2 linked regions of the Xenopus tropicalis genome follow. The protein of the gene in region 2 purifies or fractionates together with the protein of the main gene of each other region. This does not show direct contact. Links are inferred from orthologs where the notes say so. Each region holds a gene or a part of one and is shown on either strand. Other genes may lie near its edges. The genes, in order: plekhj1 and ocrl.

Region 1 (16,365 bases), on a different chromosome or scaffold from region 2:
CCCTAAAAATGTTCTATATTTTTATATGAATGTGACCTAAATCATCATATGATTTTCAAACAAATGCTGATATGATTATATATGAACATGTATTTATTGAAAAAAAAAAAAAAAAAGCAGCTTGAAAATTAGATGAGGTTTTAGGTCACATTTCTATAAAAAGACAGAAAATTTTAAAGGCTTCAAAACCGCTATACATTTTTGTAATCTACTACATCCTGTGTTATTTAACTGTTTAACAGCCAAAATGCTGCCATAAGTAACCCGCACTGGAGATTCTTACATGTTTTAAGGGGTCCTCCACCCCAAATATTTTTTTTTTTTTTTCTTAATGAAAGAAAATGTCATTCTTATCAACTTTTCCATATTACACATTTTCAATGTTTTTAAAGTTATGTGTAAATGTAATTGCTATTAAAAGCAATATCTCTTTTTCTTATCAGATCTTTTAATCAAATAGTTTGAATACTGTGATGGTCCACAGGAAGCCATGCTGGGGCACACACACGTGCATACTGATTGTGTCCTAGAGCCCGACACGCTCCCTGCATGCTTGCATGTGATGTAAAATCCAGTTTTTTCGTATTAATGTTCAGCTAGGGGCTGTGGCCCTAGGCTCAAATCCAGCCAGGGCAAGGGTGTTGTATGTTTTCCCAATGCTTGAATGTGTTTCCTCCAGGAAGTCTGGTTCCTCCTATGAGTGTGAATGTTATAGGGACCCTAGATTGTAAGCTCTGCTGGTGAACAGTCTTATGTAAAAGATGCAGAATCTCTCTGAAGTGCTTCAGAATATGTCAGCACCATATAAAAGCTAAGAAGAACCCCAAATGCTGTGGCAGTGCTATGTAATATTCATATTTTGCAGTGTGTGGAACAATGCAGATTTATTAAAATTCGCTAAATACAGTTGGCAGCAGGTCTGCCATGTTTTATTCAGATGCGACCTACCTGGCATTGGTTAGAGCTTCTACCCACTCTACACATTGCTCCTGGCTACTGCACTCGAACATGTACTTTTTTTCTGGCTCATCTATAAAGTCTGTCACAAGAAAATAACAGTGTAATTATGTTTCATACAAATAACGTGTTTTCTTCCTGGATTCTGTACTGGATACAAGTACTTTTCCCTGACTTGCATTTAACAGTCAAGACTATGATTTAGACAATAAATTAATACAGATTGTGTCTGTATTTTGTATTACAATGGATAGCTTTAACAAAATGGCAACTTCAATACTGTATATTAATTGTATGTACAGTGGTGTGAAAAACTATTTGCCCCCTTCCTGATTTCTTATTCTTTTGCATGTTTGTCACACAAAATGTTTCTGATCATCAAACACATTTGACTATTAGTCAAAGATAACACAAGTAAACACAAAATGCAGTTTTTAAATGGGGTTTTTTATTATTTAGGGAGACAAAAAATCCAAACCTACATGGCCCTGTGTGAAAAAGTAATTGCCCCCTGAACCTAATAACTAGTTGGGCCACCCTTAGCAGCAATAACTGCAATCAAGCATTTGCGATAACTTGCAACGAGTCTTTTACAGCGCTCTGGAGGAATTTTGGCCCACTCATCTTTGCAGAATTGTTGTAATTCAGCTTTATTTGAGGGTTTTCTAGCATGAACCGCCTTTTTAAGGTCATGCCACAACATCTCAATAGGATTCAGGTCAGGACTTTGACTAGGCCACTCCAAAGTCTTCATTTTGTTTTTCTTCAGCCATTCAGAGGTGGATTTGACGAACAGATGGCCGGACATTCTCCTTCAGGATTTTTTGGTAGACAGTAGAATTCATGGTTCCATCTATCACAGCAAGCCTTCCAGGTCCTGAAGCAGCAAAACAACCCCAGACCATCACACTACCACCACCATATTTTACTGTTGGTATGATGTTCTTTTTCTGAAATGCTGTGTTACTTTTACGCCAGATGTAACGGGACAAGCACCTTCCAAAAAGTTCTGAACTTCTGAACAAAAACTTTTGTCTCGTCGGTCCACAAGGTATTTTCCCAAAAGTCTTGGCAATCATTGAGATGTTTTTAGCAAAATTGAGACGAGCCTTAATGTTCTTTTTGCTTAAAAGTGGTTTGCGCCTTGGAAATCTGCCATGCAGGCCGTTTTTGCCCAGTCTCTTTCTTATGGTGGAGTCGTGAACACTGACCTTAATTGAGGCAAGTGAGGCCTGCAGTTCTTTAGATATTGTCCTGGGGTCTTTTGTGGCCTCTCGGATGAGTTGTCTCTGCGCTCTTGGGGTAATTTTGGTCGGCCGGCCACTCCTGGGAAGGTTCACCACTGTTCCATGTTTTTGCCATTTGTGGATAATGTCTCTCACTGTGGTTCGCTGGAGTCCCAAAGCTTTTGAAATGGCTTTATAACCTTTACCAGACTAATAGATCTCAATTACTTTTGTTTTCATTTGTTCCTGAATTTCTTTGGATCTTGGCATGATGTCTAGCTTTTGAGGTGCTTTTGGTCTACTTCTCTGTGTCAGGTAGCTCCTATTTAAGTGATTTCTTGATTGAAACAGGTGTGGCAGTAATCAGGCCTGGGGGTGACTACAGAAATTGAACTCAGGTGTGATAAACCACAGTTAAGTTATTTTTTAACAAGGGGGGCAATCACTTTTTCACACAGGGCCATGTAGATTTGGAGTTTTTTTTCTCCCTTAATAACGTAAACCTTCATTTAAAAACTGTAGTTAACGGTTTTTGATGAGCAGAAACATTTAAGTGTGACAAACATGCAAAAGAATAAGAAATCAGGAAGGGGGCACATAGTTTTTCACACCACTGTATCTATTGATTCTACCAAGTCCTTAATTTTACACTGCACACATATCATACTAACTCTTAAAGCTCAATATGTAAGCTTTTTAGAATTTAATACAAAGTCAGTCAGTGTCCTGTTGTTCTTGCTTGTGTGGCACTTTCAGGCACAAACATTGGTTTAGGGACCAGGAGATGACCCACAAAAATGCAGGTATTTTTAAGGTAAAGCTTGAGGGTCTAGCTATTTATGCAAGTCGTTGGGTCAAGGTTCTCAATATAAACGCATTTACTCCTTTTTAATCCCCCTCTGTTGGCAACATTATCCATGGTAAGCAGCAGGTGGGATTGGGTAAAGATAGGAGGGTCAATAGGGTAGAAATTGGACCCATGCAGAAGTCTACCTCCAAGAACACCATTTTGCATTAAAGCTTGAGTTCAAATAATTTCAAGCAAAATATACATTTATATAAGCAACAATAAATCATCTTCAGCTGACCACTGCAGTAAAGTGTTTGTATATGGTTCAGATAAATGTAGATGCTGAATTACAAATCACTGATTTCTAACTAGGTGAAGATGATGGTCAAAATACCTGCTATCAGCTTTGAATCATTTCCAACTGACATGATTAAGGGCTGTGGCACATGGGGAGATTAGTTGCCCGTGACAAATCTCCCTTGTCGCAGGCGACTAATCTCCCTGATATGCCATCCCACCGGCAAGAATGTAAATTGCCGGTGGGATGGCATACACGGCGCCGAAATTGCCGAAGTTCCTCTCAAGGCAGGTGGGATGGCATTTCGGGGAGATTAGTAGCGGGCGGAGGGATGCCCATCTGTAATGGCCCTAAGAAAGTGAGAAAAGTTAACCATAGTTCACCAGAGGGGAACTCCCAACTCTCTAAGCACTTATATAGGATTAATAACTATACCCCTAAAAACCTTGAAACTGAAGAGCTTTAAAATCTCCCTCTGAGGGACTGTAGCAAGCATTATTTTCACTCCTTTGAATATACCCCTATGTGCCCACTGCAGTTGGGAAATTGCTGCTATATTTAAATAGCTATGGAAAGAAAGAAACTGTCCAAATTTCATGTCTGCTTAAGTACTTATAGACTCCCCACAGTATAGTACCTGTACAAACAAATTAGTGCACAGTGAAAATGATTTTTGTTTTTATTCTAGTGAACGTTTATAATATGTTGAAAAGAACTGCGCATTCTTACTATATGAAGGCCACATCTGTGTCACAGTAATATGTCAAACTAAATCGGTAGTAATATGGTAACTTTTAAAATATACCACAAAACATCCTGTGTAGTATACAATAAGATTAGGGAAACCTAATCTGATACTCACGTATGGAAAATCCTTTTTCATCCTCCTTTGATACTCTGCAGTGTTCCAGCAGCAAAGCTCCAATGGGCTAAAACACAGAGTAATAGCAGCTGTTAAAAAGTACTGGTGAAGCATACCAGCAAGTGGTGTTAGGTGAGTTTAGGTCTAGCAGTAAAAGATGCAGAAAAAGTTCAATGAAGTTTGAGGAAGTCTCATTAGCTAAAGAAAGTGTTTGTGTCTTTGTAAATAGCATAATGACTGGATAATGTAGATATTAGTGTCAGGGCTTGATGCATAATGGGAAAACTAGTTAATGGAATAAATGATGGGTAATTAGGAAGCTGGAAAAAGATTTGAGGTTAGATATATAGGCAACAACAACAGTAATAGCAGGTGTCGAGGTACAGTCCTGCAATGGGTCAGATACTCGTGGATACACTGCATAAAAGGCGGGTTTCCCTAAAGGTTGCGGGTAGGATTTTTGGATGCAGGCATAGATGCGGGTCAGCCCCTCATGGATTGGGTTACGGGTAAGGCATTTGCGGATCGGGTTAGGTAGCAGGTCCAAGCTGCCTTCCAAGGTTAAAATGCGGGTTTGAGGCAGCTTTCAAAATATTGGTTCTGTGCAGGGCAGGACTCTATTTCAAGGCATTTTCTTATCTATTAATGACTGTACTCCATTAACTAACCACACAGAGAAACAGTGAAGTTGCAAGTAAGTTTCAGAGCGGGGATGTAAAGAGAGGGAATTACATGTAAAGCTAACTATATTTGTTAGATTTACAAGGCAGGGACCTCCTTCCACCTGTGTCTCAACACATGTAACTCAATGTTGTAACTGTGTATATTTATTGTTATATATATGGTCCCTGTCTGTGCTGTTGCTATATTGAAATAATGTGTAGTGCTGAGTATATAAATAGGACTTATAAATAAAGATATTTGTATACACACATTTGGAAACCTCACCAAACATGTATATTTTATATTTGACCAATCTTGCATTAGGAAAAGTTAAGCTGACGCGGCCATTTATATCCCAGACCAAAGGTCTCAAAGCGGGAACATTTGTAGATCTGTTGGGAGGGGCACCTGAATGCACTACACAATGCAGTCTGCTGCCAACATAATTCTTCCACCCTTCCCAATTAATATTTGATCATATATTGATCTGGTAAGTTATAGTTTTAGTTATATACACTGTCCAGTATTCTGGATCTAAATCAAGAGAAAAATCAAATGCTGGCTTATGTGCATGTATAGCTTTACCCCAGTACTGTGTAAAACTTATAATTGAAATTTTAGTTACTGTTTCCTACCTCCTCCTCATCTATGCGGAAATAAAAGAGGAAATTCACAACCAATTTTACCAGGCGCTTCTTCAGTACTGTAGAAAGAAATATAGTTAATTTCTGAAACATATCACATGCCTATTCAGTATTTAGTTTCTATTTAGGGAGTTTAAGAAGGATGGCAACAAGCTCTTATAAAAAACTGATCTAGTACTTTTGGATTTCTTTTTTCCTTTCTGTCTTCTGACTTCATCAAATGACATTATGCTACAGTTACTGATCCTTGCTGTAATTAACTCTTAACATAAAAAAAAAATGAGAATTTGTTAAAGGGGCCGTATACTGCCCTTTTAACGTTAGTTTAATGAATAGTGGTTACACCGTGAATCCCTCTGTATTATAAGATGCTCTTTATTTCAGTCTAACAAACCTTTCAGATGAGGGAATGGAGGAGTTTGTTTATACAAAGAGCTTCTAATTTGTTTTGCTTGTGCTCAGGCAAACAGGAAGTAGAATCTGACTTAACTGTCAATTTTAGATTTTGCCCTGTTTAAAGAAAGAAATAATAATAAAACCCACCATCAGTGCATGTATGGTGGGAGACAAGGCAACCAATATCAGTAACAGCCTTGGATATTGGTCACCTTGTGGATCAGCAGGGCTGAAAATTTTGATCAAGCACATTTGAAGGTGCCAGAACATTGTAATGTTAATCCTGAATCATCACATAGGGGTAAAGAATTCCTTTGTTTTTACCTGCATGTATGACGATTTAGCTCTTAACGTTAGTAAAATGGATGAACATGCTACTATATAAATAAGCTGCTGTGTAGCCATGGGGGCAGTCATTCAAGCTGGAAAAAAGGAGAAAAGGCACAGGTTACATAGCAGATAACTAGTAGATAAGCCCCATATAATGGGGGTTTATCTGTTATCTGCTAAGTAACCTGTGCCTTTTCTCCTTTGAATGGCTGCGCCCATGGCTACACAGCAGCTTACTTATATAAACTATAGTAGTCTTTCTGAGGCAAACACACCAGTTATACCAGTGCAGGGCAACAGTACATTATCTTGTTATTACTTTTATACACTTTCATTTTTTGGTGTTACTGTTCCTTTAACTTTCCCTTATGGAATTTTATGGATGTAAATTACAAGCAAATATCTTCATGTTGCTTTGGCTATATGGCTTAGATTTACTGGGTTGTATCTGTGCTGTTGAGCAAGAGGCTCTGGCCATAGGGACATAGAGGAATCATTTGCCTGTCTCTGCCTATGATTCCATAAGTGAGGGTTAATGCCTCTATTTGGATTTAAGGAAGTGCTACGTGTCTAGCATGAAGCTGAATATCTTATTTCACTGCATGTCAGTAATTGTATGTAACCTGTATATCTGATAAAGCTGCGGAGTAGGTTGGTGCTTTACAAATATGTGCTAATAACAACAACTATATGATAGGCACAGTAAGAATTATGACAGTATTAACTCCTCATACTTTTAGGGTGCTCATTTCTTCATGATTTAGCATAACAGTCTATCAACTAATGTCTCTTTATTTGCACAGCTTCCGTCTTTAAAAATCTGCCATATTTATCTGACAGCTAATTGCTACAGGGCAAGGTACACAGTTGCTTTAACTTGCTCCACAATTTGTTATTGCGCCAACTCTTGTTACAGAAATGATACATTCTTCCACGTTGAAGTTTACAATGTTAAGTGGCAAGGGCTGCACGATGGAATCACTCACCGCTCCCCTTCTTCGGGCCTCTCATACTCAGCTCTGCCGCTTTCTCTGCTCTCTGCCTAGAGAGGGACAGCAGCTCCTTCTCATTGTAGCGCATCTTCAGCCAACTGCATTGCCCGGGACTCGCCGCGGGCGGAAGAAAGGCTGCGGAACAGCCGGGGACTACACAAAAGAAGCAAGCGGAGTCAAACTCACTAGGGGACAGTTCAAACCTTTAAACTAATATTCATGTGCAATTATAGACTCCACATTATACACAAACTCGCAATAAGGCTGATAGCTGTCTAGCACCAGGAATGAACAACTCTGTTTATCTTAATAAAGTTATACACACCGTTGGCGTCACTTCCGGTATTTTCTGCACACTTCCGTCCTCTCTCGCTCGTCGTACGGCTCTTTGCCTCTTACTTCCGGTTTAGAATCCGGAGTGGGGGAACGTCGAGTTTGAGGTGCAAGAGGTAAGGCGCTATGGGAGATGGGGGATATTGTACAAAGAAACATAAACGTTATGTTCCTTATCTAGCAAATATAAACTTCCTTGCTTATGGAAATGGTCTGTGGGTGTCTCCATTTAAAGGCAAGCTGTGCACGTTGGAGTGCTTCTTGCCGCTTAGATTTGTATGTATCTCGGTTGTTTATTTAAAAATGTATGTACTGTTTCTTACCCTTTTTTTTTTAAAAAGACTGTTTCCCTTCCAAATAAAAAAAGCACATTGAGTTTTAACAAATATCCAGTGAAAGTTAGGATACTGCAGTTATCCAGGGTCTGTGTTTCATTTAGACTGGAGGCAATGGAGCAGTGCAGAGTTTGTATGCTGATTTGAATCGTCAATGCATTATACCTCCTAAACCACTGTGCATCCCAAAGGGAGTCCATAAATGGGACTGGGAATTATATCTAGGCGTTAGGGGTCATGGGTTTCAAATGCAGATTGTTACTATGTGGGCAGTGCCCTCCTCAATGTTTGGGACAAAGGCACATTTTTCTTTGATTTACCCCTCTGCCCTTAAGTTTAACATTTGAAATCAAACAATTCAGATGTGATTAAAGTGCACATTCCAGACTTTCATTTAAAGTTATTTGCATACATTTCAGTTTCATCATGAAAAAATGACTTTTTATACAGGGTGCCATAATGTTTGGGACAATTGGCTTCACAGGTGTTTGTGATTACTCAGGTGTGTTGCATTGCTTAAGGCTGATGCCACACCAGGCGTAGGGCGGCAAGAATTCAGCCCTACGCCTGCTACTTGTGCCTGCACCCGAGCGTATCCCATTCATTCGGGTGCAGGCACAAGTAGCAGGCATAGGGCTGAATTTTCGGCAAGCGTTTTTCCGCTTGCCGAAAAAATCAGCCCTACGCCTGGTGTGGCATCAGCCTTATAAGTGCAGGTATACAATATAATGCGTAGGCTTATGACTATGAAGATTTTCATTCATCCAGGTCATGGTATATCTAGTATAAATAAATCTAAAGCAACTGGACTTGTTAAGTAATCATTGAAGACGTTTCACTACTCATGATGAACACCAAATCCTCATTCAGTGTGTTACATAAAAAAAAAGAAGATTCGCCAATATAATGAATGAAGGCTACTCACAAGCTTCTGAAGAATCACAAAGCATATAATCATTTAAGTTGGTAATTCAGTCCAGATCTGCAGCTCTACTGCAGGAGCAAAAATTAATAGCAGCAAGCCGTATACTGCACATTTGCATTGGTTAGAGTGGATTGGGGCATTATTTTAATAGCTGTTTATACTAGTTCATGATGTCTGTTTAGCTTCAAAGCCTCAGTACAATTGGACTGGACAGTGGAAACTCTGGTGTGGCAATTTATACTTCACTGTCTGGCAGTCTGAAAAACTATTGTGGTTTTTGTGGATGCCAGTGAAACACTTGAGTGGGGATATTTTGTTATGGTTTGGCTTGTTTACCTTGTTATATATAAAAAGCAAAATCTAAGGCTACTGCGCACAATAACATTGTGCTTACTACTTTGTAGCAACAGTTTTGGGAATGCTCTTGTCTGTTTCAGCACAGTGCTGTCCCTATTCACAAATTAAAGTCGATACATAATGGGTTTGCTTACCTGTAAGTGAAAAAGCTTACTTACCTGAATAACCTTCCTAAACAACCACATAATCTCAACTCAAATAGCCATTTGTTGGATGAATTTGAACACCGATTGGGAGCCAACACCAATGCCCAACCTCACTAAATCTCTTGGGCTGCATGGAAGCAAATCCCACAAACAATGTTTCAATATCTAGTGGCAAGACATCTCAGAAGAGTAGAGGATATTTAAGCAGTAAAGAGTGGACCTCATATTAATACCCTTGGATTGAGATGGCAGGAGTTTAAAACCTTCCTGCCTGTATGAAATCTACCACTTTGGGGTCATGGTACTTGCAGTGTTTTGAATGCTGCTGCTAGTAGCAGTAAGCAAAACTCCTCTATTCAAATCCTTTAAAGGAGACACATTGGATAAATGGGAAAAACCCTAATTTTGTAGGCAACTATGAATAATATATGGTACTGGTTTCACTTTGGGCTAAAAATGAATCCTATCTAAAAATGGTCCTTTTATTGGACCTCCCTATAGATCCTATCCATTCTCTGTCCGTGTTTCAAATGAAGGGTGGGCGTGTCCATAATGGTCCCTGCTAGAAGCACAGCAGGAGGGGGATAGCCAATCACAGCCTTGCACTCACACAAGCAAAGACAGGCTTCAGTTCCCAATCAGATCAGCCTAACTGCTGATTAGTTCCTATCCTACAATGCAGTGTACTGAGAGCCGCCAGCTCCCCTGCACATAAAGAGAATTCAGCCAGCAGGAAGTGGAGCAGATGGGCGGGACTAGTGGGGTTGTGGTGGAACACAACTTTTTTTAAGCACAATCCTTCTATATCTAGAGGAGTATAATTCACTGGTATATTCTTATTTTATATATATGATATCTCTCCTTTAACATTGAGTTAAATGGAATGTAGCACAGGATGCTTAGCGTCTTGTACTTATGCTAAAAAATGTTTGCATGCCCATTTTTGACCACTGCTACAATTAAGGCTGATGCCAGACGTGGCGTAGGGCTGATATTTTCGGCAAGCGGAAAAACGCTTGGCGAAAATACAAACGCGAGACTTTGCATTCTCTCACGTTTTCATGCGTATATCGGCTACATGTGCCTGCACCCGAGCGTATTCCATTCATTCGGGTGCAGGCACAAGTAGCAGGCGTAGGGCTGTATTTTCGCCACGCCATTTTCCGCTTGCCGAAAATATCAGCCCTACGCTACGTCTGACATCAGCCTTAAGGTTATGAAAACATCATAGCCCTTGCTTTGAAACATTTGCTTCAGTGGGTAACTTAAGTTTGAATTTCTCGTCAGGTGTTTGATCTTGCTTGTATCCTCGACAATCCCCAACCATGGATTTCCAACACAGAGCCGGAGGAAAGACCGGCAGCGGAGGGGTGGCTTCTGCATCTGAAAGTAACAGAGACAGAAGGGAGCGACTCAGACAACTTGCTTTGGAAACTATTGACATTAATAAGGTACTATAAATATTTAAGAGGGACCTAGGGTTGCATTAATAACAATTATTTAATTTAAAATATATATATATTTTTTTTATAGGATCCATACTTTATGAAAAACCACCTTGGCTCTTACGAATGCAAGCTTTGCCTCACCCTACATAATAATGAGGTAAGTTGAAGGAGAAAGATTGCAAGCACTCATTTTGACTTTAAAAATAGTTTTTATAAAAAAATGTGTTAGTACCACACTTTGGCCAAAATATATAACCTCACTGGTCATGTCAAGGCCCGTCATTGTATGTGAGTTGTACACTGTCTATTAGTATTCTAAGTCTGTAGTGCATTTAAAATCAAGTCCCCTGTGATGGCCATGACAAGTAAAGTTCCATGTAAAAATGGCTCATTTGATTAGTATTATAGCATATACAGGTCCTTTTCAAAAAATTAGCATATTGTGATAAAGTTCATTATTTTCTGTAATGTACTGATAAACATTAGACTTTCATATATTTTAGATTCATTACACACAACTGAAGTAGTTCAAGCCTTTTCTTGTTTTAATATTGATGATTGTGGCATACAGCTCATGAAAACCCAAAATTCCTATCTCAAAAAATTAGCATATTTCATCCGCCCAATAAAAGAAAAGTGTTTTTAATACAAAAAAAGTCAACCTTCAAATAATTATGTTCAGTTATGCACTCAATACTTGGTCGGGAATCCTTTTGCAGAAATGACTGCTTCAATGCGGCGTGGCATGGAGGCAATCAGCCTGTGGCACTGCTCAGGTGTTATGGAGGCCCAGGATGCTTCAATAGCGGCCTTAAGCTCATCCAGAATGTTGGGTCTTGTGTCTCTCAACTTTCTCTTCACAATATCCCACAGATTCTCTATGGGGTTCAGGTCAGGAGAGTTGGCAGGCCAATTGAGCACAGTAATACCATGGGCAGTAAACCATTTACCAGTGGTTTTGGCACTGTGAGCAGGTGCCAGGTCGTGCTGAAAAATGAAATCTTCATCTCCATAAAGCTTTTCAGCAGATGGAAGCATGAAGTGCTCCAAAATCTCCTGATAGCTAGCTGCATTGACCCTGCCCTTGATAAAACACAGTGGACCAACACCAGCAGCTGACATGGCACCCCAGACCATCACTGACTGTGGGTACTTGACACTGGACTTCAGGCATTTTGGCATTTCCCTCTCCCCAGTCTTCCTCCAGACTCTGGCTCCTTGATTTCCGAATGACATACTTTGGACCACTGAGCAACAGTCCAGTGCTGCTTCTCTGTAGCCCAGGTCAGGCGCTTCTGCCGCTGTTTCTGGTTCAAAAGTGGCTTGACCTGGGGAATGCGGCACCTGTAGCCCATTTCCTGCACGCGCCTGTACACGGTGGCTCTGGATGTTTCTACTCCAGACTCAGTCCACTGCTTCCGCAGGTCCCCCAAGGTCAGGAATCGGTCCTTCTCCACAATCTTCCTCAGGGCCCAGTCACCTCTTCTCATTGTGCAGCGTTTTCTGCCACACTTTTTCCTTCCCACAGACTTCCCACTGAGGTGCCTTGATACAGCACTCTGGGAACAGCCTATTCGTTCAGAAATTTCTTTCTGTGTCTTACCCTCTTGCTTGAGGGTGTCAATGATGGCCTTCTGGGCAGCAGTCAGGTCGGCAGTCTTACCCATGATTGCGGTTTTGAGTAATGAACCAGGCTGGGAGTTTCTAAAAGCCTCAGGAATCTTTTGCAGGTTTTTAGAGTTAATTTGTTGATTCAGATGATTAAGTTAATAGCTCGTTTAGAGAACCTTTTCATGATATGCTAATTTTTTGAGATAGGAATTTTGGGTTTTCATGAGCTGTATGCCACAATCATCAATATTAAAACAAGAAAAGGCTTGAACTACTTCAGTTGTGTGTAATGAATCTAAAATATATGAAAGTCTAATGTTTATCAGTACATTACAGAAAATAATGAACTTTATCACAATATGCTAATTTTTTGAAAAGGACCTGTAGATGCTGAGTTGTTTCATTAATACCTGTCATTGCCCCAGCCCTTCCAAACATCAGTTAATATGAGGACGCACTCATAATCATCCACCGTGTAGATAATGTGCAAATAAAAAGTAGTTTATTTACAAAAACAGCATGCAAATAGCCTTGTGCATTTCATGCCTAAGTGGGCACATAAACAAGGGCCATGATGGAAATGGTTGGTATTAATGTAAGTGTTTGTGAGAAGGATCTGTGCCTTTTGAATTGAAAATATATTGGCAATGCAAAGACTTTGAGCTAATAACTCAAACTAAGTAGTAATACATCTAGTAAATGTTTATGAGTAAAGTTGGGGATATTAAAATTGCAAATGTATAAATCACTTTGACATTATGCAGCTACTGGGAATTTCCAAAATAGCTGGGGCTAAAAATGCAAAGCAGTGGTATGTTGTGTTGCAAAAGTTCAATAGAATGAGCTGGCAGGTGCGTTTAGACACTAATGGGATTATGTAATAAAAAGCACTGAGTTTGCCCAGGTGCTGTGACCTATAGCAACCAATTAGCAGGTTGCATTTACTGGTCACCTGTTTAAAAGAAAAAATCTTATTGGTTTAAAAGGCATAAAGGTCATTTTCTTATCGCATAATTTTATTTTTTTTATTGTGACATGCTCACTCATTTTGACTCTCTTAGATGCTATTAAGGGGTATTCAAGAGTTACACAAATGCATAGTATAACCCACTTTCAAGTACATATGCAACTAACTGAAAGGATATGTATTTACTCAAAAATGCCACTTGCTTCTCCATTCATTGTTGGTATCTTCTCTTTCTGTAGGGGAGTTATCTGGCTCATACACAAGGAAAAAAGCATCAGACAAATTTGTAAGTTAAATGTGCTGATTTTATGCATTAAAAAACACAGCAATGTCAAGTCAAAGTTTCCATTATTTATCTAAAGAATGTAAACATAGCCACCCCCAAACTGTACTTCAGTTGAACGTTGTGGTGGGAATTCCTTCCTAAACCCAAACTTGACAGATAATTGTAGGAAAGGAAACCACCCAACCCATTTTTAATTCCAACCAAAACCAGTCCTCCATGCATCTTGTCAGGGTTTGTGCACAACATCTACAGTTATTAACCGCTTGCTGCAGGTAGATCATAAAAGGTATGGTGTTTGCAGTCAAGGGAGTAACTGCCAGAGCCATAGGTTTTAATGTTCTGGCTTTCTCCATTCTCTTAACCTCTCAGATCGAGAGGTGTGGCAGAGGAATGGTTAATTCTCCTTAATTTTAAACATTTTAAGTTGTGTCAAATTGCTGTACTGATTTCTCTGGCACTGTCTTATTAAAGATCATTTTGTGAACAGTTGCAGACATTCTTACTTTTTTTTTTCCTTTTGATCAGAGCTCGCCGAGCGGCCAAAGAAGCAAAGGAAGCACCAGCACAACCTGCCCCAGAAAAAGTAAAGGTAGAAGTGAAGAAATTTGTCAAAATTGGTCGACCTGGATACAAGGGTGAGATTAAGTGTTGTGTCAATATGTCTTTTATATGAATGCAGTGGTTTATAACCCTGATTCCAACATAATAATCTTTTTTGGTATCCTCAGTCACATGTGGATTACCCTTACATTTAATAGCCTATCTTTTTGTTTGAAGACTGGTTATGCTAACATTTGGCTTAATCATCTGCTTGCAACAGTCCTCTGCACCCATCAGTGCAGGTATATCACTAGGTGCTTTCAGATGGATGTCAGAATTATGCAGTCACACTTTCATCTACCTTTTGTTGCTGCTGTTAGAATGTTTTAAACATTTAGAAGTCCTGTTAGCAAATGTTTCCAGCATTAGTGATGTTTTTTGCACTGATATTGATTTGGCCACTCAGCATTGCAGCTGTTTCTGCCCTGTATCTTGAATGTGAAAGAGTAAATGATATTATTTCACTGACTGATAATAAAGCCATACATTTATTTATTTTCTAGTGACTAAGCAGAGAGATCCAGAAATGGCCCAGCAGTCTTTGTTGTTTCAGGTAATAATGTGATTTACTGATATGCCATCTCTCTTAGACTCTATTTTAAACAAATAATTTAGATTTTTAAAAACAAAGTCCCTTTTTCTGTAATAATAAAACAGTACCTTGTACTTGATGCCAACTAATATAATTGTTACTTATTGGAGACAAAACAATTGTATTTGGTTGATTTAAAGAAAACCCTGGGTCGCAAGCAATCTGGATAAGAGGTTCCATACCTGTATTACAAAAAATTCTATATTACTGATGACAACAAGTATTGTCATAAATGTTACCCCTAAAACAATAACCAATATGTCAATGATGCTCCAGATGCTATAGGGGTGCCCATGCTGTAATGATGCTTCAGCCCTGTCTTTCTTTCTCTGCAGATTGACTATCCTGAGATAGCTGAAGGTATCATGCCCCGACACCGCTTTATGTCTGCATACGAACAGAGGATTGAGCCCCCAGACAGACGATGGCAGTACCTGCTGATGGCTGCAGAGCCCTATGAAACTATTGCTTTTAAGGTAGGATAAGCTATAGAGCAAGCCTTTCTCTAGCATTTGAAACCATAACTTTGAAAAACTCGCACATACAAAACCCTTCTCACCTTATAACACAATTATATATTCTTCAAATACGATTCAGTAGGCGTACCAAACACCCACCATTTCTGCAAAATGACATATTTTTAGTACAGCCTGCACTAACCTACTGAAAATTGACAAGAATTATTTTATCCATGTATCCAATTGTGGAATTTCTACAGCACTTTTTCTTTTATCCAACAGGTCCCAAGTCGAGAAATAGACAAAGTGGAGGGAAAGTTTTGGACACATTGGAACAGAGAGACAAAACAGGTAATATAAAATACATCTTGTGCAAAAGGGGGATCCCTCACGTATGTACCCTAGTAGTCTTAATTACATGTGTTCATTTTGTGCACATTTTGCATATTTCCTCCAAGACAAGATAATTGCCTGACGTGTGATTGTGTACGCAGTGCCCAGGTGATCACTATAAAAGTCTATGGAAGGGCAGTTACAAGCTGCCCACCAAGCTGCAAATTATACAGGGGTGGGTGGCAAAACACCTACAGTCCTGCAGTATGCCATAGGGATAGTTAATTTAATAGTTTTGCCTACCCTTTTTTCTTTAAATGCCAAACAGGCTGAGGTTTAACATTGTGTGTATAAATATTCTTTTTTTATATTATTTAAATAAATGTATAGTAAAAAGCCATAAAGGAACAATAAATAACCCCCCAGTCCTGTCTTTAAGGTAATAATGCATAAATATCAGACAAATACACAATCACCATTAAACAACATTGTAGTAGGTTAGTAGTAACTGCAACAAAGGCAGTATATTCTTTGTTTATTATTACATACAGCCACCGGGTATAACCAGTTACCACAGGCATAGGCACTAAATGGAGAAAATTGCAGCATAATGTATTTAAGCCTAAATGTAAAAAAAAAAAAAGCCAAATATAGGACTTCCCAGATATAAACTGTATAAAGTAAAACACTAAATAACTATTTGAATGTGATGTACCCCTTATTGAAATGGATTACATCACCACTCCATTTTTAAATAACAAATATCCCCACTGTAAAAAATCCTCAGTCATAGTGCCAAATATCAGATCATCATAG
Region 2 (15,721 bases):
AGTAAATTGGGCTCCAGTGAGTCTTACACTTAAACAGCAAAGGCTTTATTAACAGGAGTCACAGAAGAAGTAGGCCCAAGAGTTATGATACGTTTTCCCACATATACTCACAAATAGTACTTTTCCCCTTAGGGATCAGTCATTGAACACTGGACTATTTCAACTCGAAAGTATCACACTCCCAGTTTTCAGGCTTCCTCTCAAGTGGAACCTATGTGAGCTATAGTAGTCCCCAGGTCTCCTACAGACACACATTATAGCGTGTAAGCCAAGATCACCAGAGACGCTGTCCATAGCAATGCTTTTATTTTTTAACTTGTAGGTGACTGATCAATACTAATTACTTACAGGTTGCTATGGGCAACCTCACCAGTGATGTTGGCTTAAACATTGCAATAAATATGCCCCAAGTTCCTCTGTAATCTGGGGTATCACACCTATGGGCCTATTTATTATGCTGTGTAAAGCAAGAATCGCCAAAGAAGTGGTGTGAAAAGTTGTGTAAAATAAATGCTGAATTTCGCTGTCTGAACAGCAGATTTTGCAGCATTATTTTATGTAATTTCCAGTAAAAATGCATTTTTTTTTTTAAAGCAGCAAATCCTGGCGATGTGTGCTGAATTTTGCCATCATTTTATATACACAGCATAATAAATAGGCCCCCTAGTGTCATATATGACAAGGGATATCCTTTCTCTGGCTCTACTATCAGTTGTAGTATATTATCATGTCCCACCAGACTGTCCAGATGGATTTCAAAAACGTTGTTCTTACTAATATGCTTTAAAATAGCGACACCTACTGGCCAGTTCCTGAACTGCCAGGAGAATACTTTAACCCGGGAACTTAAAGGGGAACTATCATGTATGTATGTATGTATGTATGTATATATATCTTTATTTATAAAGCACTACTTATGTATGCAGCGCTGTACAGTAGAATACATTAAATGAAAATATTAAATGAAAATATTGAAAATATAAAGTCTAGACAAACATTTTGACAATTAATAGCTTTTAAAATTTTTGCACGGTTACAATGTTATGGCATCAGTGACGCAGAAATGTGTGAGTGACAGAGCAGAGGGAAAGCTGATTTGCTGTAGCATGTCATGAGGCCACACCCCTCAACAGCAAATATGTGCAAAGGGAAGGTAAAGGAATGGAGCTGGGCTGGGCGCTGATGGAGCTGAATTTGTACATATAACAGTAAAGCAGCTTATTCTTTCTATCCTTTCTATCCACATATACACAGCACTTCGGGCTCCTTTGCATTGGGGTTTGTGCTGCTCACCAGCAGGCTTAGATTTGTTGCCAGTCACCCTCCTGCAATTTACACACACAGATACATATCTTACTTTAATAGCCAGATACAGGGGTAACAAAAGAGAGTATAAGAGACTTCCTCCATACCAGTGACACATCAAGTGCAACAATATTACAGACCTCTCTGCACAGGTAACGGTGTGTGTGTACAGGCACATAGACTCCTGTATGTTGGATTCACAGGTTGGGGTTGAACGTTAGTCAGTCAAGAATGGTTGAACCACTCCCAATCCTCTCTGCTCAGAACACAAGCTGCCTGTCAGTACTGAGCCAAGTTAAGCAGGTTCCCATTTATGATAGTTCCCCATTAAGTCCTTCTATAACTAAGGAGCCTCTTAGTCGTCTTAACCCTAGGGGACTGCCAGATCAAAAGCGCTACTATGTTTTCAGTCCCCTCTGTTTAAGAATGATTAAGAGGTTAAGGCCCAGTGCAAATCTCCAGTGTACTGTATATGTGAGAGCAGTTGGAAAGATTGCTTGTATGTAAAATCACATGTGAAAGACCCCAGTAGTAAGTTGGCTGTAGAAAGCTGCTAATAACTTTTAATGGTTCAACATAAAAAAAACTGAAGTAAATGTCAATAGTACAACTCCGACTCATTTTCTTACTGACTTCACATCCCCTTTAAGCATAGCCTGAATTTTTGGGTGCAGATCCCATTTGCTCATAGCTCTGTCTGTTACAAAGCAAGGAAACCATTACTGGTCAGTGAGCGCTGCTAAGGTTTAAATCAGGGCTGTCCAACTGAAGGCTTTTACTATATTTTTTATAGCTCACAGCATACCCAGGATCTCCATAGAGCTCTCTGTATAAGATCAATGTTTTACAATAATATGGTCACCCACACAGATAAATTGGTAGTTAAAAGGGTGCTTCACCCTTTAGGTTAATTTTTAGTATGTTACAGAATGGCATATTCGTCGCAACTTTTCAATTGGTCTACATTTTTTTTTTTAAATACTTTTTAAATTATTTGCCTTCTTCTGACCCCAGCAGCCAAAAAACTATTGCTGTGAGTTTTGCTTTTTATTACTTATCTTTCTATGTATGGCCTCTTCTATTGATACTCTCTTTCAAATCACTGCCAGGCTGCTAGGTTAAATTGGGACCCTAGCAGCCAGATAGCTGCTGAAATTCCAAACTGGAGAGCTGTTGTACAAAAAGTTAAATCATTCAAAGACCACAAATAAAACACAATGAAGGCCAATTGCAAATTGTTTCAGAATAGAGCTCTCTACATTATACTAAAAGTTTATTTAACGGTGAACAACCCCTTTTAAGTGGCCATGGTATGCAAAACCATGGGTAGCCCTTCTGGATGCAACATTAAGGGATAGGTAAACCTTTAAGTGAATGTAAAATTGACGAGAGTGCTATTCTAAAGACTATTTTTTGAGGATTCCAAGATATGAAGGGAAATGTATACAGTTAGTATTAATTTTGTCACAACATCGCCACCTGCTGGTCAGTTTCCAGCTGTGATCTAATATCAAGGAAACTGTCAGGAGAATGAGCTCGGTTGATGTTCTTCAGATAAGACCTTTCTTTCTCATCAGGGGCGCTTCTGCCATTAGGCGAGTTGAGAAACTCGCCCCAGTTACCAGGGGCGGCAAAAAGCCGCTCCTGGTAACTTTAAGAGCCAAATTTCCAGTTTTTAAAACGGAAATTTGGCTCTTCTAGTGCAGAGAGCGCAATTGAGCTCTCTGAACTAGCGATCTCACCGCCCCCGGACCCGCTCCTGCGCTCAGAAGGTAAGCGCTGGGGAGCGGGATCCAGGAGCCGCCTCAGGCGGCGATATGTCCAGAATCGCCCCTGTTTCTCATGCCAAACCCTTCAGAAACTGACTAGTAGGTGGCGCTGTTCTACAAAATTCATTCATATTAGCAGTACACATTCCCCTTAATATCTTATAATCTTGAAATAAAATAATATTTTAAAGGTTTACTTACCTTTAATGGGTATGACTGCAGACACCTTAGGATTACTGCATACATACACACACACAAACCATTCTGATTTGAAGTTCTACTTGATCAGCCCTTTTTGCTGAGCTAAGTGGCAGAACAGTGTACAGCTCAAACTAGAATACCTTGGCCTATGTTATACTAAAAGTTCATTTCAAGCTGATACGCCCCTTTTGAGCTGGCCATACATAGGCCATGCAGACCAATTAAAACGTTCCTTTCATTGTTCTATCTGCAGCTGTCTGATCACAGCTAGTCACTGACTGGTGGTTATGGGTTACTGTGTTGGTAAGTGAGCCTGACACTGGGTGCCGGTGCAGCCTATGCCATGGGAAACATGCTACAAAAGGAGACGGTGCTGCCAGTTTATGACATAAAAGTACTTTATTGATTGCACAATTGTTGCTCAGTACATCTTATTTACCAAATAAATTATTTCCTATATATAAAAATAAAACAGTGACAGAAAGATACAGGAGGAGTTGCCTAGCTCGTATGAAGGAGGCTCACTTACAGCGAGATACAGGACGCCTGCACTAGAGCCTTTAGGATGGGTAAATATGACAAGATGAACCCAGAAATCCTACTGGAGTGTATAAAAAGGTGGAATAAAAACAATCAACGCATATGGACTTCAAAATAAAAAGTGTTTCATATATATATATATATATATATATATATACATATATATATATATATACATATATATATATATATATATATTTATATAAAAAAGAGAAAAAAGGTTTAATACAATTAGTGCAAGTCTGGAAAATATTTTTAGGGGGTGTGTATAAGTGTCTTTCCTGTCTGGCAGAAAACTACACTTGTGTATTGCTTTATGGCTGGGGATTTCAGATATAGACCCACAGGACCAAAACATTTGTCTGGCAAGTCACATGGCATAAATAATTACTACTTACTGCACTGCTACCTTGAAATGGTATTTGACTTAACTACCTATTCGCATGGAAGAAGGCTCAACCAGACCATACACTGGCCAATAAAAGCTGCCAACTTGGCCCCTTCAGAGCAAGCAGGTAGCTTACGTGCTCATGTATGGGGCCCTCCTAAGAGCCTGTCTAACTCGTACCTGCCAGGTTGGTAAATCTTGTTGGATGAAGACCACTGACTGGGTAAACAAACAGATTTAATAAAGTATGGCAGGGAATTACATTAAGGTAGACATTATGAGATAAGAATATCCATTTGACCAACTAATTGCGACTAGCCCTGTATGAATGCAAGTACCATGGAGGAAACAAGACAGTGGCAATAAATCACTGGCAAGATGAAGAGCAAGTTCATAACAGTTATATACGGAATTGGAGGGTTTGTGCTCAGTGGTTTCAAACTATAATGGTCAAAAATGAATATATATACACACAAATGGATTATCTACTCAATAAAGCAGAAACCTTGTATCACTGCTTGATAGCGACAAGCTGAATTTCTGAATTGGAGAATGCTTGGAGGATCTGCTCACAATAAATATGAAAAAGGGTGATATTTCTATTCAGCCAGCAAACACACATCCAAAAGTTCCTCTTGAGAGCGATAAGATCCATGTACCAGGCACATACAGATGTTTCAGGTCATTACTTGGTTCTTTAAACATTGTGGGGAACAAATTATTACAATTATAACTGAGCTCTAAAGTACATTTTCCTAAAGGGGAACTCCACCGAAACGTAAGCTTTTTTTAAAGTAAACATAATTTCAAGCAACTTTGCAATTACCTAAGCCTGGCACCCTGTTCTCCTGCTGATCTGCCTGACTACTTTGACTCAAAAAAACAAAAACCCCTAAACAAATAGTAGTTGACTGCCCTCAACCTGCATCATCCAAATCCCACAATTCCCTGCACACGTGATGTCAATAAGGAAAAGGACATCATAGTGAAATGCATTGTGGGTTTTGTAGTCCCTGCATGATGTATGTAAACTGTAAATATGTGGTTACAATTTGTCCAATTGTTACAATGTTTAGTTCCAACTTTGCAATTTGTCTTATTTTTGTGTTCCTTTTCTGCATTTTTCCAGCTTTTTGATGGGGGTCACTGACCCCAGCAAAAACTATTGCTCTGTAAGGCTACAGTTTTATTGTTATTGTTGCTTTTTATTTATCTTTCTATTTAGGCTCTCCTCTATTCATATTCCCATTTCTGGTTCAAATTACTGCCTGGTGGTTAGGGAAAATAACACTGTAGTATCCAAACGAAATTCCAAAGTGGAGAGCTGCCGAACAGAGAGCTAAATAACTAGAAAGCTACAATAAATAAAAGGCAAATAGCCCAAGATTATCATTGTATAATGTAAAGGTGAACCATCCATTTAAAAAATCAGTGACACTTTGTACTTAGTGTATATTGGAAAGTTGCTTAGAATTGAATTTGCTTTCCCTCCGTTTTTGGGCAAGTCAACTCTCATTGTTGCTCTCTTAGTAGTTCCTATACATTCTTAACATCCATACTCATAAAAGAACATTTAAAAAAGAATTGGTTATTTAAAAACACTAAAATATGCTGACACAGTAATAAAGCAAAAATGCAAATGTATATGTGTTTCAGTTACATTCATCCACAATTTTATTAACTTTATATTTGTTATTGGTACCACGCAAGAGACATGATTTGGGGCAGAGGGTGAACTACTTTATTTGACATTAGCTAAGGGTACCAAGTTCCTTAATGGCTTCTGGCAGCACCTGCTATACAGAGCCCTGGCATCTTCCAAAGGCAAATTGTCAATGCTTTGCATGACCATCATGACCAACATATTAAGTGATAAATGCCATTCAGTCACTGTATTAGCTTCAGGTTGGAACTAGTAGCAGCAGGTATATTAGCCTGGTAGCTCCATATTCAACAAGCAAATGATCAAACAGGTAGCCTTTTACTCACCCATGGTCAGTTCTCTGGTAATGTGTTTAAAATAACCAGTTAAACTCTTACAGGATGACTAGGACAAATCAGGTCTGGTGGCTTTTAGTTGATCTGCTGCATAACTGTCCAGTATGACCCAAACTAGGTGTAGCCCATTAAAGTACTAGAATTAAAGATACACTGACTCTCAGTCTGAATATTAAAATGTTCCCATTTAAGAGAAGGTGGCTTCATCTATGCATGGCGGAATCTTTTATTATGGCTTATGGATTTTGAAATATGTAATTTACGTTAATATTACATTATTAGTTCCCTCATCATTCATGGCTGCATTTTATAGGTATGACAGTTTCCCATAACACACTTAGCTGCCCAATTAACCAATGGGAGAGAAAGTAGCATGCATGAAAAAAAGCATAAATAAGAGAGAACAGGGGTCATTTTTCACAATTAAAATACTTTGGACATCGACACTTTGAATTATAGTAATATATAATAATAATATAAATGGAAACATTCTGTAGAAAAAGCAAAATGGAACAAAAGTCAAGGAGGAGCCGAAGGTTGCAGATATCCGACTTAGTGTTAGTGAATGACAGCCCTGCCTGGCTGTATGAATAACCCACAGATACCATGGTGAGTGGAGAGCGTACATGTACACAGAAAGGTATTTATTTTATGTAGTGTCTGACCTTTCTGCAGAATAAAAATATTAAAATAGTAAACTTGAGCCTAGCAGTATGCAGGGAGCAGTATGCACCATCAATGTGATCAGGGGTAAAACAGTGGCAGACAAAATGGTCATTGGTTAATAGCGCTGATAGGGGGACCCCCACTGAGAAAGGCCTGAGCGTTTGTGCACTGTTATGTGTGCTATTTTCTGTCTAATTTTAGTGCTGGTAAAAATGTCCCAGATGTCATAGCCCTGAAGCCTAAAACAACCTACTATCAAATAAAAGAGCACATTGTGCACAGCTTGCTAGCAAGACACTTCATCTTATGGAAAATACCCCTGGGCTACATGGGGGAATCTGCTGCCAATGCAGGTAAAGACACCCACCTCAGATCCAGGCACTGCACAAGTACAACTGCCAAATTACATTGTAGAATCGTGATAATTGTAGTTTAGCATCTTATGAGCGGAGCACCAGTTTGCACTTGGAAGCACTTGCTATTCATTCATGCATACAGCCCATGTGTACACCTCTGATTGTTATAATTTCCTCTAATATACAATAGCACAGAGCCATTGAACTAACAGCCCACTGCCTGCAGGAAACTAACACTCCTCCTGGGGAAATAAACCTTAAAATGCACCCCCTGCCCGTACCTTTGGGAATATTTACTTGAAAGAACAGGGAGTTCATAAAAACAGAAACCAAGGCAGCGAGGAACCCAAGTCACAGTGAAGCTGTGTGTGCTTTCTAGGTTACATGGATATGCATGTGTAAAGGGGGAAGCTCATATAGAGCAGATCATGGGTAAAGTGCAGCTTGTCTAATGCAATTCTACTAAAATCAGGACTTCCCACCATTATAAGACTTTGCTGAGCAGATGGCATCACTGATATATAGAATTCCATATGCCAGGAACCCTGTCAGTAATACTCCTGGATTTTTTATGTAATAATTGCAATGCCAGGATCCGCTGAACACTGGCTGAGAAATGTCATTAACCTTTGGCTTGGTTCTAAGGTGCTTTCAATTTTCATCACAGCCCTCTTATCTGCAAGTATAAGAAAGACTATCCAAGAGGCAAGGGCAAGTCAACAAGTATACCAACAAATTTCAGGTGAAAATATTTAAATACAGTAAAAAAAAAAAAAAAAAAAATCACAGACCATGAACAGTTAACTTAGAACTTGGAGAATGAACATGGCTGCTTATCCCTGCCAAGTGCAAACCTAAAATCATGTGATCCTATGAGGCAGAATGGGAAGAAGTTCATATCTTCCAACATACTATAATACACTGAAATGAAACAAAAAAGATCACTTTAACAGGAAAAAAGCCACAAAGAGCAGTGACAATGGCACCACTGTTCAAGATAGGACTGACAGAAGCCTGACCAAGAGGGGTGGGTCCATAGCTAATATACAAGGTGACCGGTGTTCCACAATGACAATGAAAACAAATCCACACCTTGTACAGATAAACCAACTAGGAAGTGTTGTCCTTTCTTTGGAGATAATTGTATACACTATGTGGGAAAAGCATAGGTACAGTACTACAACTGGCATAGGCTTCTCTCTCCCTGCCATAAGGATATCAGAACCCCATGCAATGTTCCCACTCATAGTCCCTTGGCTCTGTAGCAGCCTGGCACGAGTGCCTACTTGTTTTTATCCTCTACAGCACTCCTTACAGTCCTGATATGGCTTACTCCTCATCAACTGACAAAAGGAATCCCAGAATGAAATTGATTGCCCGCTGCCGTTCACTCGGTGTCTGTTTCCCAATTAAGTTTGGCGGAGGTCGTAGCAGGAGGCTAGTAAAGACTGTGGCTGTTTAAATAACAAAAGATAAAAAAAGATATTTGAAATTGGGAAGGGGAATGGTGGCAACAACCTCTATGCTGGCATAACCCAACAGTCACACAGAAATTTGCTATGATCTTGATTAGGCTGGTTGTAGTGGGTATTTTACAGATTACACAAGTACTGCACAGAAAGGTCCTTATGTTACTGAATACTTAGCAGATGTATGCCCTGTTTATATATAAATGCAACAAGAATAAAAGATGCCCATGCACTCACTTATCCTAAGCCCTTACCGATCATGTTGGCACTCAGGTTGTTGTCTCCAGTGTACTTAAGCAGCTCTCTGAGAAATGCCATTAAATATCGAAAAACGTTTCGATGGCACCGCGGCAATTGAGAAATCACCTATGCGTAAAAAGATAAGCAGCAGAGCAAGAGTCAGGGGTCAAGAACCAAAAAAAAAAAGGTGCCTAAGCATAAAGTATATTGAATATTCTCAGAGACATAAATATATGTCCAGCAGAAACAAGTTGGCAATGTAAAAAGCACAAAGATTGCTAAAAGGTTTAGTAACCGATACTGTGAGTCACAAAATTTGAAGCAAAGTTTGAGAATGTTATCACATAACCCCCACATAAAGTGCTGGCATTAAAGTGCTGGAATATGACCACAAAGCCTCTCATAAACGTGAATTAAATCCCTGTATTAAATACCTGCAGGAAAAAAGACCTGTTACAGCTGAGCAACAGGAGGATTCCATTATTATTATTAACATGTATGTATGTATAAAGTTTCAACATATTCCACTGCTCTGTACAATGAATGGTTTTATACATACAGAATTACACACAAAGCAACCAATAACCAATACAAGAGGTAAGAGGGCCCTGCACAAAAGAGCTTATAATCTATAAGGAGAAGTGGTACTCCATTCAATTACATGACCAGCTACAAGGCCATGTTTGTGTACTTTGCTGGCAGCTGAAAAACACTGGTGGAGAAAATGCCCCATGTGCCATGGGTCTTAAGAGAACCAACATCTCTCTGAAAAACGTGTTAAGCAATGACAGGTTTATTTCTCAAATAGGGCTGTTCGGGTATAAAATATGCTTGATATAAATAAATGGAGAGAATGCACTTACCTGCCACAAGAATACAAGCTATTGGACTGTAACTACATTGTACATACCTGTCGGCAAAGTCGGGTATCATGGGAGCAGTCAATGCATCTCTGGTACAGTTCATAACAAATAACTGGTTCTGGCAGTGCTTCCAAAAAGATCAGTAATGCTTCTGCAACCGAATGGTTACTACCAGCTAGAGAGATTGAGTTAAGGTCTGTCTAAATAGAGGAATCATGTCAACAATTATACTTTTACATTGGTCATTAATATTAGGCATCATGCTCTGCCCCTCCCGACAGGGAGGGCCCAAAGTTATATTTAGCAGTTTATGTTAAATGAATGAACACAAAGTACGACGACCTCTATACAATAACAGCCTTTTAAGGATACGAATTGTTTCAGGAATGCTGGTATCTAAACAGTCAATTATCTGCTGCAATTCCTCTTGTTTTCCTGGGGTCTGAAAGAGATCCTCCTGTAAAACAACAAAGAGGATATAAAAAAAAACTGTGTGTATAGATACTCCTTTATAGACTGTGTAAAGCAGTGATTCCCAACACGTTGCTCACCAACCCTTTGAATGTTGCTCTCAGTGCCCCCAAAGCAGGTAGTTATTTTGAATTCCTGACTTGGGGGCAAGTTTAGGTTGAATAAAAACAAGATTTACTACCAAATAAAGCCTCCTGTAAACTGATAGCGTGCATAGAGGCTGCCTAATAGCCAATCTTAGCCCTTATTTGGCTCCTCCATGAACTTTTATGATGCTTGTGTTGCTCTTTAAGTCATCTTACACTTGACTGTGGCTCACGAGTAAGAAAGGTTGGGGACCTCTGGTGTAGAGTATAAGGGGACAGCTTGTGCTGCACACACACAGCATATTTACTCTATCTGCATTTATATATTGCTTTCATTGTATAGGGTGCTTCAAAAGAGCACTAAAACTACTGTATAGAGAATTCTCTGTTAAGGAAATTCTATGGTTGAATTGGTAAATACACATGTCCTTTTACTTTAATTAGTAACTATAACTACCTATAAAAAGCAGAAAGAGGAATTCTATAGGCTATAGATTCCCCTCCCTTCGCCCCCCTCCCAGCAGCCGATCAGCACAACAATGGGAAGATAAGCAAGATAGCAGCTCCCAGAATATCAGAATAGCACTCGATAGTAAGAAATCAAAGTCCGGCTTGTGACTCCTCCAGTTACATGGGAATAGGAGAAACAAAAGGTTACCTGAAAGCAGTTTTAATGTTTTTTGAATGCTTTTTGAAAGCTTAGACTCAGGCACAATGCACTGAGATGGCTGCCTACACACAAACATGCAAAAAAAAAAAAAAAAAAAAACATTTGTTGGTTGGGGCTCAGTCAGCTATTTTAAGACTGGCTACAATAAGTAAGAAATACATTCATCATGGATGTGGTACTCAGCTCTGCCATTCAGACCCAACTGATCATTGAGCCAAGATGACCCTACCTGAATGAGCTGATCTTATTTGGTATGGCCTCTTGGCCAGCTTATGACAGTACAATCCGAATTGAATGGTTGCTATGGGTTACTGCATTTAACCAATAAGTACATGAACTAATTATGGGCACAAAAGGAAAGTATCATTTAAAATGAACAGCATGGAGCACTGCAAAGTTTGTGCTGAGAGAGGAGGCTTTGGAAAGGACAAGCAGCAGGGGCTGAAGACTACCCTTGGTACAACCACACTCACAACAGCTTGAGAAGCACAATGTTAATATACTGCATTGAGGAACCAAACTAAAAAGTGTTTGCTGATGTGTGTTTTATAGATATTGTAAAGAAAAGACCCATGCGCCCCCTAACAAACCTGCCGGCAAGCATTTTTATATAGGTGATCGACCAAGAGCCAGATCTCCTTTGGGATTTTCATGGGCTTGTCAGCTGTCTCATCACTTTCCAGTGGAAGCATCTGCAGAGCCGCTTTCTCCTAAGGGAATACAGAGATTTAATAACTACTGTAGCACTTGCTATATATGCTGCAGAGAAAGTCACATTAAAAAATCAAACAGTGGAGAATCTCTATAAAATATCAAGTTAAAGATACAAGCTACTTTCACATTGAAACAGCAGCTCAGTGGGTAAGACAATGTACGACGAGAGGCCGAGGTTCCATTCCTGGTCAGTTATTGTGTTTTTATGGGCATTTTATTTAAAGTGATACTAATTGCTTTACACAAATGAACAGACTTACTCTGCAGTGTGACAAAGAATTTGTACATGCCCCAGCTATTAGCTTGCATACCTTCTGGCCTGTCATTTACATTGTGTTACAACCATTAAATACATCTGTGGCCATGTCTTAAAGACAGATTTATAGATCCTATGTCGATCTGTTTAAAGGGGACATATTGGGTAAAGTAAAAACTTTTGCAATTTGCATAAATATTTGCTTTTTGTGTAGATTTCATATTAGCAGTTCTTACACATATTATACAATGTACCCACAACGTTGAGCACTAGAACTGATCATTAGGTTAGACTTTACCCTATACAGCTGAATACAAATGTTTAGGCCACCTTTCCAAATTAGATATTTATTTGAAAGTGAAAGGTAGGACAACTATTGCTTAAAGCAACATATTTGCAAATGTTAATGCAGTTAATTTTTTTTCTCCTAAATCATAGGAAACAAAAATATAGTAACTGGGATATGGGTATAAGCTTGTGCACCCTAGGAAGTATTTAGTAACACCCCATTTGTATTAAGGGTCTTGGCTGACAAATAAGTGGTGTTGTACCGTTCAACATGATTTGGAATGGAAAGTCGTCAGTAGGGACCAGCGACCAAATAACAAATGTCAATTACAGAGGTAAACAAAACAGCATCTAGACAAGCCAGAGGCCTTTTGAAAACAAGCACTGTTGATAAATTTAACTCATTGGCCACAATCACCAGAGGTTTGTTTGGAGAAAAACAGAAGCATGTGGTGAAAAAACACCTTGCCATGGGGTGGATCAATTATGCTTTGGAGTTTTGGGGCAGCCAGTGGCACAAAAAACATTGTATGTGTAGGAAGGAAGGAAAAAGAAGTTACACTAAATATCAGCAACATCTGGATGCCAAGGTGAAACAGTCAGCCAAGAGCCTAAAAAGGGCATGGCTCCTACAACAAAACAATGACCCTAAATATACTGCAAAAGCCACCGTGAGCTACATGAAAAAAAGTAAGATGAAAGTTTTGGAATGGCCTGACAGTACGTGGCTAGATCATTCAAGATGGCCCAAGATCTCTGAATTGGAAGAGATCTGCAAGGAAAAGTTGGCAATATTGGGAGCAACAACACCATGAAGTCCAAAGAACACACCAGACAGGTCAGGGATAAAGTTATTGAGAAATTTAAAGCAGGCTTAGGCTACAAAAAGATTTCCAAAGCCTTGAACATCCCACGGAGCACTGTTCAAGCGATCATTCAGAAATGGAAGGAGTATGGCACAACTGTAAACCTACCAAGACAAGGCCGTCCACCTAAACTCACAGGCCGAACAAGGAGAGCGCTGATCAGAAATGCAGCCAAGTGGCCCATGGTGACTCTGGACGAGCTGCAGAGATCTACAGCTCAGGTGGGGGAATCTGTCCATAGGACAACTATTAGTCGTGCACTGCACAAAGTTGGCCTTTATGGAAGAGCGGCAAGAAGAAAGCCATTGTTAACAGAAAACCATAAGAAGTCCCGTTTGCAGTTTGCCACAAGCCATGTGGGGGACACAGCAAACATGTGGAACAAGGTGCTCTGGTCAGATGAGACCAAAATGGAACTTTTTGGCCAAAATGCAAAACGCTATGTGTGGCGGAAAACACTGCACATCACTCTGAACAAACCATCCCCACTGTCAAATATGGTGGTGGCAGCATCATGCTCTGGGGGGGCTTCTCTTCAGCAGGGACAGAGAAGCTGGTCAGAGTTGATGGGAAGATGGATGGAGCCAAATACAGGGCAATCTTGGAAGAAAACCTCTTGGAGTCTGCAAAAGACTTGAGACTGGGGCGGAGGTTCACCTTCCAGCAGGACAACGACCCTAAACATAAAGCCAGGGCAACAATGGAATGGTTTAAAACAAAACATATCCATGTGTTAGAATGGCCCAGTCAAAGACCAGATCTAAATCCAATCGAGAATCTGTGGCAAGATCTGAAAACTGCTGTTCACAAACGCTGTCCATCTAATCTGACTGAGCTGGAGCTGTTTTGCAAAGAAGAATGGGCAAGGATTTCAGTCTCTAGATGTGCAAAGCTGGTAGAGACATACCCTAAAAGCCTGGCAGCTGTAATTGCAGCAAAAGGTGGTTCTACAAAGTACTGACTCAGGGGGCTGAATAATTACGCACACCCCACTTTGCAGCTATTTATTTGTAAAAAAATGTTTGGAATCATGTATGATTTTCGTTCCACGTCTCACGTGTACACTACTTTGTATTGGTCTTTCACGTGGAATTCCAATTAAATTGATTCATGTTTGTGGCTGTAATGTGACAAAATGTGGAAAAGTTCAAGGGGGCCGAATACTTTTGCAAGCCACTGTATATTGGGCAAGCTTTTGCACATCCCACAATTACTACTTTGTTTGTTCCTATATTTTAAAGTTTGTGAAATAAAATGTAACTGTGCATTCGCATTTGAAAATATGTTGTTTTACACGGATTCCTCCATTAGTTGTTTTACAAAATATGCAGTTTGGCACGGGCAGCCCACAATTTGTCATTCAACTGTATATCCCCTTTAGGCCGAAACTGGTTAAAAAACAGCACAGGGACAGGACAGATCAAATAAAAATAAACATAATTACATTTGCTTATTTAGGTAGGATGACAGTTAAGACAGCACTGCCAATGACAGATGAACACAAAAAGGATCGAACACAATGAAGACTGCATAAACAATAAAACCAATATGAACACCACCCAGCTATAAGGGGCAATATACGCACATGTTCAATGTGAGCCCAATAAACAGGGGTTATTATTGGAAAAATAAACAAAAACAAATATTCTTTCATTAATGCTTTAATCATACTGCACACAGTGAATTTGGAGATTTGTAATACATATCCCTCTGCCTCCTGAAAAAAAACTATGCTGCCTGGTTTATAGCCTCTGAGCCATGTTTGTGGAATACAATAGACAGTTTCTTTGGTACAAACAAAGAACATATCATGAAATGGTTTTAGGCTTTAAGTAACCCAGTTAGATGACAACAGGAAGAAGAGGTTTTGTTGAACCTTGTACATATATTGCCCCTTCAGTTATTTTGCTGGAAGAGAGGCCTGGCAGATAAAGGCAGAGACTGACACAAGGACATTACTGAATTCCAATACAGATAAGATCAGATCACCGACAGGGGAAAATAACTAGAAGCAAAACAAATCTGTACTCTATATTGCGTTACCTTCTCTGAGAAGCTGTCTTCTCCCTAAGAGCAGAAGAAAGCAGGAGGCAGAAAGAAAGGAAAAGAAATGGTGAGATTTACCAATTTCAGATGTTAAAGATATGAAGTACGTGGATTTTATAGAGTACGATGATCTTCTGTTAGTGGATCCCAGAAAGGAAGAACGGTTATGTACATTATAAAACAAGAGTTTGGATTTACAATGATTTAGATGATCTGGAGAACATTCTTCATTATTCAGTAATATTAGGGTATTGGTTGGAGGAGGAGACATTTGTTAAACAAGCAAATCTTTCCCCCAATATGCCCAAATTGGGTGGGCGATATTGTGCTTATCCAATGAAAGGGACAGAAAAAGTCAGGGGGAGGACTGCAACAATGAGCCGAGGTCCCTGATTTGGCGAAAAATGAAGACTGTCCCCATTTTTTAAGTAAAAATTCTATTCTATCCTGCTCCAATAATTGCCCTATCATTCCCAGTGTGTATTATTTTAAATGCTTTATTAGTTTATTTGTAAAACGTCGCATCCGG

Evidence for each region.
Region 1: the proteins of ocrl (region 2) and plekhj1 purify together in Homo sapiens (co-immunoprecipitation; 3 studies listed by BioGRID and IntAct, counting the BioPlex papers as one, with this or other methods). This does not show direct contact. The link is inferred for Xenopus tropicalis from reciprocal best matches to the Homo sapiens genes OCRL and PLEKHJ1.

Annotation. Positions count from the first base shown.
Region 1 is NC_030677.2:102,624,571-102,640,935, reverse strand, and holds the start of plekhj1 (pleckstrin homology domain-containing family J member 1), read right to left. Parts: upstream 7,433-16,365; 5' UTR 7,247-7,432; coding exon 7,153-7,246; intron 5,500-7,152; coding exon 5,432-5,499; intron 4,201-5,431; coding exon 4,134-4,200; intron 1,040-4,133; coding exon 949-1,039; intron 1-948. Other genes in the region: sf3a2 (splicing factor 3A subunit 2), read left to right, coding at 10,580-10,705, 10,788-10,859, 13,520-13,566, 14,092-14,201, 14,670-14,719, 15,094-15,234, 15,499-15,567.
Region 2 is NC_030684.2:52,469,573-52,485,293, forward strand, and holds the end of ocrl (inositol polyphosphate 5-phosphatase OCRL), read right to left. Parts: intron 15,214-15,721; coding exon 15,190-15,213; intron 11,733-15,189; coding exon 11,613-11,732; intron 10,253-11,612; coding exon 10,168-10,252; intron 9,971-10,167; coding exon 9,843-9,970; intron 9,059-9,842; coding exon 8,947-9,058; intron 8,678-8,946; coding exon 8,553-8,677; 3' UTR 3,656-8,552; downstream 1-3,655. UniProt on the Homo sapiens protein: Catalyzes the hydrolysis of the 5-position phosphate of phosphatidylinositol 4,5-bisphosphate (PtdIns(4,5)P2) and phosphatidylinositol-3,4,5-bisphosphate (PtdIns(3,4,5)P3), with the greatest catalytic activity towards PtdIns(4,5)P2.